Pelodiscus sinensis: one gene and its partner. The protein of the gene in region 2 interacts with the protein of the main gene of each other region in a biochemical or structural test. Links are inferred from orthologs where the notes say so. Each region holds a gene or a part of one and is shown on either strand. Other genes may lie near its edges.

The links. The genes of interacting proteins can lie anywhere in the genome.
Region 1: the proteins of SNTG1 (region 2) and PLEKHA1 form a complex in vitro, tested with the Homo sapiens proteins (2 studies listed by BioGRID and IntAct, with this or other methods). The link is inferred for Pelodiscus sinensis from reciprocal best matches to the Homo sapiens genes SNTG1 and PLEKHA1.

The regions. Positions count from the first base shown.
Region 1 is NC_134718.1:56,475,521-56,482,387, forward strand, and holds the start of PLEKHA1 (pleckstrin homology domain-containing family A member 1), read right to left. Parts: upstream 3,011-6,867; 5' UTR 2,845-3,010; exon of another isoform or gene 2,771-2,844; intron 2,558-2,770; 5' UTR 2,449-2,557; intron 1-2,448. UniProt on the Homo sapiens protein: Binds specifically to phosphatidylinositol 3,4-diphosphate (PtdIns3,4P2), but not to other phosphoinositides. May recruit other proteins to the plasma membrane.
Region 2 is NC_134712.1:68,483,141-68,491,156, reverse strand, and holds the start of SNTG1 (gamma-1-syntrophin), read left to right. Parts: upstream 1-5,005; 5' UTR 5,006-6,413; intron 6,414-8,016. UniProt on the Homo sapiens protein: Adapter protein that binds to and probably organizes the subcellular localization of a variety of proteins. May link various receptors to the actin cytoskeleton and the dystrophin glycoprotein complex.

The DNA of each region.
Region 1 (6,867 bases), on a different chromosome or scaffold from region 2:
TGAGTGATGGCCCTTTGCAGAACAGCCCTCCTCCTGTTTCTTGTACAGTAATGCTGCACAGTGACCACTGGGGGCACCAGGAAGGGATGGCCAGCTGGGGACAGGGCTCACCATCTTACCTGCCGCCAGCCCAGGGAAGTGGCTCCCCTGCCCTAAACTAATTCCTCTGGCCTTTGGCCACAGAACCAGATATCAACAGGGCATCCCCTGCCTCCCACTGCTGAACCCCCTTGGGATTACTGCTTAGCTGGACAGCACAGCCCCACCTCCCCACCGCAGGAACCACAACCCACCCACCCCCAGCACCACCAGGCCATCCAGCACAGCTGTGCCTGGCTGGCCTGTGTGGAACCACATCCTCTGGGCTGGGCCCGGGAAGCGCCGCCAGGGCTGGCCTGCATGACCCCACTGCACCACCAGGCCAGGCAACAGGAATGCCAGTGTGAGGCCTGAGAGGCCCTGCCCCTGGCTGGACCCCACCAACACCAGGTAACTCTTCTAATTTAAAATAAAAGGTACTCATGGACTGAGTATGAATAAAAAGAAGTTGCCAAAATTAATGATTTACCTTATACTAACGCTTTTGCCGGTCATCTGAAGTGGGTTTTGCCCTCGAAAGCTCATGATACCATCTACATGTTTTGTTAGTCTATAAGGTGCTACTAGTCTATTTGGTTGGATTTTTTTTTTTTTTTAAGTTTTTCCTGTTACAGACTAACTCGGCTACCTCTCTGAAGCACCTTAACTTCACTTTTGGATAAATAACTGTACAGTTCTTCACAATAGTGTGATCGAATTCTAATTAATGCAATAACTACTAAAATGTCATCCACGCACTTGAAACTGAATAGTATTTGTTTAAATACTTTACATTAAAATGGTCAGAGCAATAAAGATCAATTATAAGGATGTTTAAAACAGTTTGACTTTCATGGTTTAGTTCTCTTATAGATGGAGCCTTGAAAGAAAAAAGTAGTTTCAATGGGATAACATTTTCTTTCCAGAAATGTCAACAGGTGAGTATTTCAAATGACATACATGCCCTTTAGGAAAGTTCTGTACTGTGTTGTAAGCAAAACTCGTGAAGCCATTCTGCCGCTCTACTCTGCACTAGTTAGGCCTCAGCTGGAGTACTGTGTCCAGTTCTTGGCGCCACATTTCAAGAAAGATGTGGAGAAATTGGAAAGGGTATAGAGAAGAGCGACAAGAATGATTAAAGGTTTAGAGAACATGACCTATGAAGCCAGGCTTCATGAACTGGGCTTGTTTAGTCTGGAAAAAAGAAGATTAAGGGGGGACATGATAGCGGTTTTCAAATATCTAAAAGGGTGTCACAAGGAGGAAGGAGAAAATGTGTTCCTCTTGGTTACTGAGGACAGGACAAGGAGTAATGGGCTTAAAGTGAAGCAGGGGAGGTTTAGATTGGACATTAGGAAAAAATTCCTAACTGTCAGGGTGGTCAAATATTGGAATAAATTGCCAAGGGAGGTGGTGGAATCTCCCTCTCTGGAGATATTTAAGAACAGGTTAGATAGACATCTGTCAGGGATGGTGTAGACGGAGCTTGGTCCTGCCTTGAGGGCGGGGGGGCTGGACTCGATGACCTCTCGAGGTCCCTTCCAGTCCTATGATTCTATGATCTTTAGGCTGTCGTATATGATTTCTTATTCTAACTACTTAACAACATTGTAAAATTCCAACAAAATGAAAGCGATATGCTTGTTAACTTAACTAGTAATAAAGTCAGATCCCATAGTTCACCTGCAGTCCATCAGGTAGGTAAACCCATTATCCACCCACAGACATTTTGCTTAGCTAAATCAGCCTAGATTCCAATCAAGTCAGAATATCATGTCAGAACCACAGAATTTTCTTGCCAGTCTACCTACTAAAGAAAAGGTTTTTCTAGAGTAAGACAGGCCCATGTGAAAGCCAACCCTTTCAAAGCTAAACCAAACTAGAAAGTCAATGAGTCATAACCACAATTGTGATCTGATCTTTAAAACACAGTTTGAGATGTCAATGTCAAATGCAAACGTAATACATATATGCAAAATTCTGAAAAGCTGCATGAGTTAATTCCAACACACACACACACACACACACACACACACACACAGAGAGAGAGAGACAGTGTGCTTCAAAGCAGATAACATCAGAGTTCATGTCATGCTCAGAAGACAGGCATTGCAAAGGAAAAAAATACTGGCAATGAGATCAGCCTCTTATCGCTGGAGATGTTACAGAGTCTCAAATGCTTACCAGCTTAATTATACCATAAACACATAATTTCCCTCAGGGTAGAGTCACTTCACAAACCCTCACCAAAAAGCAGTGCTCGCAGAGTCAGGGTGAAGCACTTCTCATACGGCAAAACTAAACGAAAGGGTCTGACTGGAAAGCAGTCCCTTTCTTCACAAGTCTTAATAGCAAAATAAGGTATTTTACCCAGTAATGAAAATAAGTTTCCTCAAGTCGCACACAGGTGTCCCCTGGCCCTGGATGTCTCCACGCCACCCTCACTCTGCTCCTGTTTCAACACCCTCCTCGCTACACTCTGCAACACACACCCCACAGCCTCAGACCACTCCCTCAGACACCCCCTACCTCTCCCACCCACCCACCCACCCCGCCCCCTCACACCCCTCCACGCACAGACATATGCTGCTCCCGCGCCCGTTCCCTACCCGCCCAGGCACCCCTGCCGCATCCCCCGCCCCCTCAGCCCTCTGTGCGCCCCTCCCCAGCTCCCCCCGCCGCCGGGCCCTACCCCCATCCCCGCACAGGGCCCCTTCCCGCGCTCTGGGGGGAAGGCCGAGTCCCTCCCGGGCGGCTGCTACTCACTGGAGTCCGGGGGGAGCCCAGTCAGGAGAGGGAAGCGGTGGCAGCCCAGAGCGCGGCCCCCCTCCCAGAGCCGCCGCCCACTCGGCGCAGAGCGCAGCCCGCAGCGGCCCAGCACCGCGGCCTTTTTTTTTTTTTTTTTTTTTTTTTTTTAATGGAGAAACTTTATTCGTTTCCCTCACAAGCGACAGCTACGGGAGAACCGAAGCTCAATCACTGCGCATGCGCTCACACCCCATGGGCTCAGCGACTCCAATCAGACCGCATAAAAACACACAGACGGCAAGGCGGGCGGGGCTGGACCGCAGCCGCAAGGCGTCCTGGGACATGTAGTCTCTACAGGGGCAATCCGATGGGCCTTAGCCATTGAGAGGAGAGTGGAACGTTGCATTTTGGCACTCGAAGTCGCGCCGGGTTGAACCACAGGGCTAAGGCGCCTGTGCGGTGATAACACAGCGAGGCATGCTTGGCAGTGGGGGCAATTCCTAGTGTCTAAAAGTCACCAGCTGGGCTCCAGAATAATGAATGGGCCCTAATTTAAACCTGGAGATTCCAAAAATAGTAAATTAGAGGGGGAAGTAATTTGCCTTGAGTTTTTCGAGTTGTTCAGGTTCCTGTTTGCTATCTTTTATTCACAATTCCCAGGCAGAAAATTACTAGGTTACATGAAAACTGATATTCTCACATAAACAAAATCATGAACGTTGACAATAGAATGGATCTACTTTCCTGATAGGGCCACCTTGCATAGTGAGAACTATTGGCTCCACAGGGCTTCACTTTGTCCTGGAAGGGAAAGGAATACTGTAGTGGCAGACTCTCCTTTTTAACCGTTTTATATGTATAGAGAAACACAAACAAACAAACCAAAAGCTGCAAAAGGCCTTATCTCTAAGGTGAATAACCAAAGAGCTTTGCATGCTGGGAAGCAACTTTTGTGTAGGACCATTCCTCAGATTTGGGTATTGCAATATTCCCTGTAAACTAGGTCCCTGGGCAGCTGCCCCGAAGAGATTCAAATGCCGCTCAGCTATTTACCAGAGTGCCCACAACAGACAGCATGTGTTTTTACTGGTGGTGCACATTGCACATGCCTCAATACACATAACATGATTTATTCCACACATGGATGGAAAAAAATTAGAGGGAACATTGCAACCTCCTGATACTTGTCATCTCTGGAGCCACACCTATCAAATGGATCATTTGGAATCATAGTATGCTAACCCATCATCCCTGTTGTCTGAGATTACAAATTAGAAAGTGCTTTGACATTGTAAAGTTCTGTACAACTGAGATATTAATGCACAATAATTAGATCGTTGATGTTTTCTGTCATTTAGAGGATATATATACAGTACTTAAAAAGGAAAACTTATTTTTATCAGTAACAGTAAAACTCCCAAATGAAAGAATGTAACTTGGTTACGGTGGCCCTAAGTTCCATTTTGGCTGGGATAGTCCCTTTTTTAAGATTTATCACAGCCGTCCCGACTATTTAGCAAAAGTGAGCATTTGTCCTGTTTGCTCTTGTTAACTAGATCAGTTGGCAAAAGTAAAGAGCAAGAGCAAACTGGATAAATGCCCACTTTTGTCAAAAAAGTGGGATGTGGTACCGAGTAACATATGGCGGAAAAGTGGGGATGCCAACCCCATGCAGGGGAGAGGCTCAGCTGGAGTGGGAGGGAGGGGGAGAAAGAAAGGGTTCTAGTGTATGGCAGGCCTGTAGGTTTCAAGTGACCAGCTATAGGCATGGGTGGGGGGACCAGCAGGATTCAAGTGACCAGTGGCAGTCTGGGGTGGCACCTTGAGCCAGTAGCTATGGTGCCCCCTCATAGTCCCATGCACTGCCCCATCATCCCTTTGGGAATTATGGTCACCCTACATTTGGTATTTCTACAAAATGCTGCATCTTAAATGATTAAGTGGTGACTCATTACTCTAATCCACTGATAGTCCCATAGATGCATGATGGGCTGCTATTAGAAAGATTGTAAATTTGCAGTAGACAGCCCCTGAATCTAGTCAATTTTCTTATGAACCGTTATAGAATAAATACTTGCTGCATACATCATACAGTGAGAATCCTGGTGAGTGACTTCTTCTCATCCATAAAGTCACAATTTGTCTCCTGCTGCAGCATAAAAAAAAATTACTGGATACTAACACTGGAATCATGGTGACCATCCGTGTGAAGACACAGCAGCCATGTTACTGGTATTGAATGATTGTACAATGTTCAATATTGCCAAACTTAGGAGTTTAATCATGAGTCACATACCAAAATCATCAGATTGTCTTAAAAGTCATGAAATTTTACAGATATTTAAAGTTCTTTATTTTTCTTCTCATTTATGGGCATGTGATAACATTGGCAACCATAGAATCATAGAACACTAGAACTGGAAGGGACCTCGAGAGGTCATCGAGTCCAGTCCCCTGCCCTCACGGCAGGACCAAGCACCGTGTAGAGTAGACAATCTCCGATAGATGTCTGTCTATCCTGCTCTTACATATCTCCAGAGATAGAGATTCCACAACCTCCCTAAGCAATTTATTTCACCACCCTGACAGTTAGGAAGTTTTTCCTAATATCCAGCCTAAACCTCCCTTGCTGCAGTTTAAGCCCATTGTTTCTTGTCCTATCCTCAGAGGCCAAGGAGAACAATTTTTCTTCCTCCTCCTTGTAACTTTCTTTTAGGTACTTGAAAACCACTACCATGTCCTCTCTCAGTCTTCTCTTTTTTAAACTAGACAAGCCCAATTTTTTCAGTCTTCTCTCAAAGCTTATGTCCTCTAGACCTTTAGTCATTCTTGTTGCTCTTCTCTGGACCTTTTCCAATTTCTCCACATCTTTCTTGAAAAATGGTGCCCAGAACTGGACACAATACTACAGCTGAGGCCTAATTAGCGCAGAGTAGAGCAGAAGAATGACTTCTTGTGTCTTGCTCACAACACTCCTGTAAATGCATCCCAGAATCATGTTTGCTTTTTTTGCAACAGCATCACACTGTTGACTCAAATTTAGTTTGTAGTCCACTATGACCCTAGATCTCTTTCTGCAGTACTCCATGATGACTATAAACTTTTTTTAAAAATGAAACCTGAGATGGTTATATAATTACCTGATTCCAAGAGCTAGGACTTTCAGAAAAACACATACTATTACAAAACTCAAGATAAAATCAGGAGAGTTGGGATCACTGTATGGCAGACACCTTTCCTTATTCCTGTTATAATTAACATTTTAATTGCCAGATGACCTAGAGGCCTCAACTAGGTTGAGTCTCCATTATGACAGGCACTGTTCAAATATATAGTAAATGACAATACCCACTACAAAAGCTTTACAGTCTAAAAAACTGCAAAACTACTAGTTTCCTGGAGACGTCCTTGCCTCACCATATTAATTCATATGGATGGATAGAATTAAGAAATATTTCAATAATGTGAGATCTCACCACAGGTTATTTTACCATGTATTTGCCAACAAACAACACTTGTATAATTTAATATTAATATAACACTATTTATCTTTGAAATATTGCATGATATAAAACATCCATTCATCTTCATTCACCAAGACACATGATAAAAAGGTCACCTGATAAAAATCAGAGTTACAAAAGGGTATACCCCTATCACATAACAAAAAATGCAGTAAATCTTATTGACCTAATTTTCTAGATGGGGAACTGAAGCAGAGAATTTTCAGGAGCCAGGGTCAGAGAAACGATCAAAGATTCACTTCAGGTCTGATCTAAAGGACATTTCAGTCAATGAAAAGATTGCCATTGACTGACCACACCAGTTGCCAGTAACAATTTCCAATAATGATATTAACTAGTTTTAATGATAATCTGCTTCCACTCTAAACACAACCATTTCTACTGAAATATTTAATGTGGTCCAAAGTAGTAATAAAGAAAAGCTTTTCCTAGCTTAGAGCAGTGTCATCTCTAAAAATGGAATGCGTTTAAACTCAATCCTTGCATGTAAATACCTCTTTGTTCCAGGCTGGCATTT
Region 2 (8,016 bases):
AACCAAACAGTGATTTATATTTTATTAGACGTCATTAGTTAGTAGGAGTGATCTGTCTTAAATGAAAAAGATTTGGTTAATCTATTCTGACTTTAAGTAGTGGTGTGCAAGCTTGACAACATTCTGATCTTACCTGTAATGTGATTTCACCCTGCTGCACTTACTGTTGCTGAAAGTGTAACTTCCTTTCTTATTTTAAGTGTTGAATGGGTCCTTGTCACAGGAAGAAGAGTGATCATTGCTATTGGAGTTCTAGTAAAAGATTTTAGATCTTCTTGGTTTTGGGATGATAGGCAGAGATTAGATAGGAGTATTTTTATGCTAGAAGGCAATAATGGGTGTTCATGAACCAATAATTTAATCTGGGTAGACAATCATAGGAATACCTGGAAATGTGATTGAGCTAAAGAACCGGCAGAGACTTCATAGGTCTCCCATTTTCCATGCTTTGGTTTTCCAATTTTCTCCCAAATCAAAATCTTTATGGTCAGTGGTGACTAGAGCATTCCCTGCAAACATGGAATTGATCAGATGTGGCACTGATAAGTTATTGCATTAGATAGATAAATACAAATACACTCAATTCAACAACATTTCTGTCAGGCGTTCAAGCAGTAATGTCCTTCCTGAATATACGATGAAAATGACTGGCTTAATTTTTGAAGAAGAGCATCCATTTTCAAACTCACGGGCCTTTTCTCATGTATTGATTTAGCATATATTTGAGTTATCCTTGCAGTGTTGCAATCTCATCAGATCCGTTTAAGTGTCTCAACTCAAAGATAGATATATTTAGACTTGGATAGTAGCAGATATAATTGACTTTTCCAGTAGTTGTGTGGAGGCAAAAACCCCAAAGAAACATGACTGGAAATGACCATTCAAATTACTGATCCACTGAAAAGAACTGAACATGAGTCACATACATATTTGGGTGGCAGATATATTGTTCAGTTAATATTTCACCATTTAAAAAGGGGGTTGTATCTCCAGATACAAAGTATATGTGTTCAAATAGGCATAAATTCCATCAGAGTGCATGTTCTTATGTATTTATCAAATCACAATTTATTTACTCTTTCTAGAGTAACTCTATGGCTGTGTCTAGACTGGCAAGTTTTAACGCAAAAGCAGCTGCTTTTGAGGAAAAACTTGCCAGCTGTCTACATTGGCTGCTTGAATTTCTGCAAGAACACTGACTTCCTACTGTCTGAAATCAGTGCTTCTTGTGGAAATACTATGCTGCTCCCATTCGGGCAAAAGTCGGTCAGTGTAGACAGTTCAGATTTGTTTTGCGCAAAAAAGCCCCGATCGCAAAAATGATGATCAGGGCTTTTTTGCGCAAAAACGCATCTAGATTGGCACAGACGCTTTTCCGCAAAAAGTGCTTTTGCGGAAAAGCGTCCATGCCAATCTAGATGCTCTTTTCCACAAATGCTTTTAACAGAAAACTTTTCCGTTAAAAGCATTTGCGGAAAATCATGCCAGTCTAGACATAGCCTATTAGTTTAGCACTTAATCTGCATAAAGTTGCATTATGTTGGTTGATGCCTAGGCTCACTGAATGTTATTGCAGTTAATATTTATAAAAAGTGATAGAAGAGTTATTGTTCACACTATTTGTTTGCATCAGGTCCAAATTTACAGCTGGAGAGCTTTCAACAATAAAAATTAGAAATTAAATAATCCTGCGTCAAGAGCAGCCTAATTGCAAGAAAAGTCAAGTAAAACATCAACAAGGAAATCATTTTTAATATTTTCCCAACTACCCTTCCCTTCAGCTGAAGCAAAATGCAAGACAATGTAGCACTTTAAAGACTAACAAGATGGTTTATTAGATGATGAGCTTTCGTGGGCCAGACCCACTTCCTCAGATCTATCACTTCCCTTCAACTGTGTGGCATTACTGCTAGAAAAGGGAATGCACACCGCGTGCTGCTAACTTTTCAATAAAATTCAAACTCCCAAAAGCCTTTTAGACCGTCACCCCAAACCCTGAGAAAAGTGTCCATTTATTTCAGCTGTTTAAGAGGTGAGTTTTTTCTCGTCTCTATAGCGCCACTTAGTGTCAGTGGGATGAAATTAGTCCTCTAAATATGGCCTGGTCCTACTTATTGAAAGCCTGCTCAGAGATCTTATCTGCCAGCCTAACCGCCCCCCGCAAGGGAAAATCAAGAGGATCACCACCACACTAAGCCAGCGCAGGACTAAGGAGTTTGCAATGCACTGATCTCTGGATGCCTGTATAAATAAGATGTTTGCTTTGGTCCCTCGTGGTTTAAATGTCTCTCCCGTACACTGCCCTTGGCTGAGCGTCTCGAGGATGGGGATGCGCTATGCTATGGGTTGCGAGCAGGGAGCAAAGGGGCTGGACAGGCCGAGAAAGGGAGCGAGATGCGGCTCCAAACCTCCTCGCTCTGACTGACACCCAGCGGGAAGCGGCGCTTGAAATCATCCAGCGGGGCCGCCCAGCTGCGTGGTCGGGGCGAGCGGCAGCCTATCCCTGAACGCGTTTGAAGCCCCGCCCCCGCCCTACGAGCCCCCGCGGCTGCTCCGGCAGCTGGGCTAGGATGCAGCTGGGGGGTGGAGGGTTCTCCAGTCCCGCGGGTTCCCTTTGCCCGGGTGCAGCCGACGTCTCTGGGTGCAAGCAGCGGCTTCCTTCCCCGGCCGAGCAGAATTAATTCGCCAAGCCCCCTCTCCCCACGTTACACGCCTCCACGTGTGGGGTGTGTGAGTCCCTCCCCAGTAAGCTCGCTCTCATTCTCTGCGAGCACCGGCGAGCTTTCCTCGCAAGGCAGGCGAGGCGAGCAATCAACAAACTACAGGGGGACCGAGTCTTTAAAGAGGTGGCGTCTCCCAAAATATCCAACATTCCGCACGCGTGCCGAGCCTTTCCCAGCACCCACGCGGCTTCTGTTCTCACTAAGATCACTGCTTCGGCCAGGCAGGCGTGAGCGTCTGCCCCCTGCCGCCTCCCCTTCTGCCTGTAACTTCCCAAGGGTCCGTGCACTTCGACTGCCCTCGGCCGGCTAGGACTCCTCCAGCAATCGATTGGAAGGGGAGGAAAAGGCAGGCGTCCTGGGAACTGCAAGCACATAAGCTAGGTCACTGATTTGTTCTCACTGCGACTGAGCCCTTAAAGGAGCTCTCGGGAAAGGCAGGATTCGCTAGAGCCTGCCCCCCCCCTTTTCCCTCTTGTCCTTCCAACACTTCCACATAAAACAGGGACGAATCTAGTGTCTCCTGCTTCACACCCACCCAGCTCTCTGAGGCATCTCGGCACAACCTGCAAAATCTCAGCTCCACCACTTGGATCTTGTGAGATCCAGCAAACATTTTTGCCCCCAGTATTTCTACCCAGGGCTGGATTAAGACCTTTAGAGGCCCTAAGCACTGAAAAGATTATGATGTTCCCCCATAAGTAATTTAAAATTAAAAATAATACTATACTGTAAAATCTCATTTTTTGGTGCCCCCTGCTTAGCTGGTGCCCTAAGCATGTGCTTAGTCTGCCTATTGGTAATCCACTTCTGTTTCTACCCCATAAACTGGAAAGAGTGGAGGTACACTTCTTGGGCCACAGGGCAGAGCAGTGAAAGGATCCTGCCATGCCCTCCCAAGGTAAACCAAGGGTGGAGAATCCAAGACCCAGGCTGGATGTGGCCTTCTGCTTGCCTGGATCTGGCCCCTGAGTCTTGGGGCTCCCCCCAGTATTGGGGAACCTGTGCTGGTGCTCCAGCTCCATAGCTAGAGCACAGAAAATCTACTAGCTTGCCCTCCCCCCCCAGGCTTTGGTGTGCAAGAGGAATGTGGGGAGCCTCTTTGTCTTTCTCAGTTGGGTGCCATGTCATTGAGGGTTTTTTGTTTCTCAATTTGTGAAAAATCCAGACATTTTTGTGTGGGTCTGCAACCCCCCAACCCAAAAAAGGTTTCCCACCCCTGTAAACACAATTAGCTGCTCTTGTTGCAGGGACAGAACTGAGAAGCAACACTGCATACAAAACCTGGACCTTGTCAAATGTTGGCCAGGGACCTTAAAATACAGAACAAGCTTGATCTACTATTCTGCCACGCCCCTCCCCCACTCCCCAAAAACAAATGTTTCTTCCCAGTCCCCAGCCAATTCTGGTAGAACGCTGTAAAAACTCTGCTTTGGCACCACTTTGCTTCTGGCTGCATCACCGCTTAAATTTTAGCACATGTGCAGAATCCAGGGCCAAATTTATCATGATTCACCAACATTGCCCCTTCTTCCCTATGCCCGCCTCACAATTACATAGAAAGTTGAAAACATCAGTTTAACCTGTGAAACTGCAACTAGTTAGGAGTATGCATTTTAAATATGTTAGCAACAAAAGCTGGAGGCAACCCTCAGATCTGAGATGTTCCATAAATGATCAGCCATGCAAATGATAAAATATGGATCTTTGTTTATCTCTTTACGGTAGCAATCAGGGCGTTATTTCCTTAGCAGATGGAGCCACAACAAAATCAAAGTACCAGAGCCCAAATTAGAAAATAGTCAAGGGCTTGTAGATTATGTAATCTAATTGACAAGGGACTGGTTGAGGACTGTAACAGTTCGTTTAATATTAAAAAGCCCCTGTAGCTTTAACTGTATCTGTTTTAAAAAGCCATGCATAACTTTTACTGAATATAGAAGATAATGTATTCCCATCTGCCAAGCAGTGCATTGCATTTCATGACGTACAGTAAGACAGAGAAGAAGGTAAAATAGAGCACGCACGCCTAAATTAGCCATTTCTAGCAGGCTATAGGTACCCAATGAGAACATTTGCCGTTACAAATTTTGCTGGGTCCGGATTGTTGAGGCAACAGTAGAAGCATCGCCTTTAACTCTGATTTTAGGTGCATGTTCTGCGTGTTTGGTGAAACTTTGGCATGCTCCCAGGTGTGTGTGTGTGGGGGGGGGGTCTAAGTTTGGGTGGTAGTTTGGCTCTGGGGCACATCCGTGTGGATTTTAAAGATACAACAGGGAGACGCTAAATGGCGTTCTCTGTATGGACAAAATATGGAGGTTCAAGGAGGAAAATTTAACAGTGCTATCTGATATTTCACTTCCCCATCAAGGTTTTTTTGGGTGCTCTGGGAAGCCCTGCTGCAGATTTTGGGTGGGCCAAAGGAGGAAGGAGTAGAACAATAGGAGAAGCTACATTTATTCTCTGCTGCGGTGGCAAAATGTGGGCTTGTTCTCTGTACATGAAGGTTTTAGGGGGCGAGAGCCCGCGGATCGGGGTGGGGGGGGGGGGCGAGTCTCTCGGGCTCTAGGGGCAGGTTGCGAGTTCTTGTGGCGCTGTTGCACTGAGCGCGCCCCGGCCCCAAGGCTGTTTTGAAATAGCAGCGCTGGCTGGATTTGGACCTCGCGCAGGCAGCGGAATGTGAGCGTCCCGGGCCCCACAGGGACAAGGATTGGTGGGCTCCGCTACCCCCCTCCAGCGCCTCAGCTTTTCCCCTTTAAAGCGCTCTCCCCGCAGCCTCAACTTCTCCCCGTCACGTGTGATTTCCTTTCGGGGGCCCGGCGGGGAGCCAGAAGCCGCCTGGCGGAGCCGGCTCGGATGTTAGCCCGGCGCTCGCTCCCCAGGGAGGATCCGGATTGAGCCCGGCTTCCCCTCCCGGGGCTCACCCGCTGCACTTGGCGGGGGCGCGGTAAGTTTCCTGCCTCCCGCCTGGAGCCCGCCCAAGCGCCATCTCTCCCCCTGTCTGCCTGGGGCTCGGCTGTGCACGGAGGGACTTGGGTTTCTCCCGCGCTCCAGCGGCGGAGGACGCCCGGCAGCTCCAGCCCCCGCACGGCGGATCTTTCCTCCCCCGCCGCGCGCGGGAAGCGAGTTGGTGGCAGCTGGCGGGGGCTCCCGGTGGCTCGGATCCCCCCCCCCCCCTCTCCCTCCGCAGGGATGGGCAGCGCCTCAGGACTCCGCAGGCAGCGGGACCCAGCGCTGCCGCTGCAGGTGCCCATCCACCGGCTCGCCTCGCTCTGCTGCTGAAAGGGCGGCGCTCCCTCCTCTCTCGCTCCCCCTCCCCTCCGAGTTATTTATTTTATTGTTTGGGGTGGCCGGAAAGTAACCCCCCGCCCCTGCCACTGCAAGCGGGGTCGGTGGCGTCATTCCGCTCCGGAGTTGGAGCGCTCACCAGCCACTTCCACCCGATTCCCCCCCCCCCCCCTCTGAAAACACAAATAAGAGTGTAACTTCCCGGAGGCTGCGGTTTAAATCATGGCCCCTGCGATCCGGGCCAAGGGGAGAGAGATGCCTGGTGACGCTAAATAAGCCGCGGAGATGTCCCCGAGTGGGTTGGAAATACTTTGGCCATAGCGCGGAGAGGAGATCCGAGGAGGACCAGCTCTGCCACGTTTGGGCCACCGAGAGAGCAGCTCGCCTGACCTAGCACATTGGCAAGTAAGTCACCGGCTCCCATCCTTGATTTCCTTGATCGTACAGGTCTCGCCGCCGAGGCTTTGCAGCTGGTGGTTTGGAAGTCCTGGGCTGGGGGGTAGGGCGGGTAGCGGAGTCACCTGAGGGTTTCGATCTCCTCCAGGGCTCCTCATGTGAGACATGTGCGACAGAGTGGGCTCTGTTGCAAGCCAGCCTGGGTCCCTCTCTGTGAAAGTGCCTGGTAAACACCTCCTTTACAGCAGCTGCCCAAGAATAGGGGTAAAGGACTAGCCTGGTGACCACTTCTGCAGCTACAGCCCCTGGGAATGATGCCGTGTATGTTTATTAGCATCCCAGCTATCTTTTTCTCTGTGTTTGCATGTCCCTCAATAGTGGGAGTCTTTTACTAGAGTGCATTTTAGCCACCGCTCTTGTAGGATAGCCCGGTGTGTATCTGAGGCATTTATGCAATGCACTACAGTGCTTGAATTTGATCTGCATATCTCTTAACTTTTACCATGCCATTTGGTAATTGTTTTTTTTCTGATGCTCCTTCTCTTGTGGGTTTTGTTTTCCTGGCTTTTTTTGAAAAAATATGAAGTTATGTACATCTATGGATCTTCCTGGTGATTGACATTAATCAGAAAACAAAAGTTGGGTCCAGCATGGTTTCAGTTTAACAGGGCATACAGAAAAGGTGTAGTAAGCAAGCTGTCCAGTCCTGCTCCGCTGAAAGTCCACACTAAAACTCTACTTAGGAGGGAGCAGGGACAAGCCCAGGAGACTATAATCTCTTCCTAAAAATTCAGTTGAAGATAGTTTGCTCAGAACTAAGCTGTCACACTGCAAAATGCCAGATTTCCTGCTCACCTTTCAGCACAGCTAGTGCATAAGTTAGCTGACCTGCCTCATGGTATCTACCTGCCACCCATCACTGAAATTCAGGAGATGAAGATGTGATTTCACATTGAAAGGCAAACAACAAACTTCAAAGCTTATTTAATTATGTTTATGTTTATTGATTTTTCTTAGCACCTTCTCTACAAGACTGAAAACTATAATCTTATAGTGACCTTGATGAGCATCCTGCTTCAGCATGAGGTTTCACAGGGAGAAAAAAATTACACTGATTTACAGCCAAGCATTGACATTTTGCTTAGAACATGATCAGTTCCAGTGAGCATATGACTTTCAATAGTGGTAGTGGGGATAAAAGGGTGGAGCTAAGGATGTGTATTCATTTACAGCAATGAACTTGCTTGACAGTTACAACATAAATAATTCTATGTACCTGCTGCAAGTAATGTAGAGGGATTTCCTTCTATAGAAAAGTAAATGGGTATGAAATAATTGTTGATTTTTATTTGACTTTATTTTCTAAACAGAAGTCTCCAGTAAATGGAGACCAATACAAAAAAAAAAAATCCCAAATCTTTCCAGATTAATTCACTTTGATTTGTCAGCACTTGTCAACTCTGAGGGTTTAGAAGGAAGATCCTTTTATATACAGCTGCCTACACTTTTCTCATTTGAGCAACATTATCATAATAGGATAAAAAGGTGCTTATATGTTGAACACATGACTAAAGCACCAGTTATAGCAAAAGGATGAAATAAGCCTTTTCCT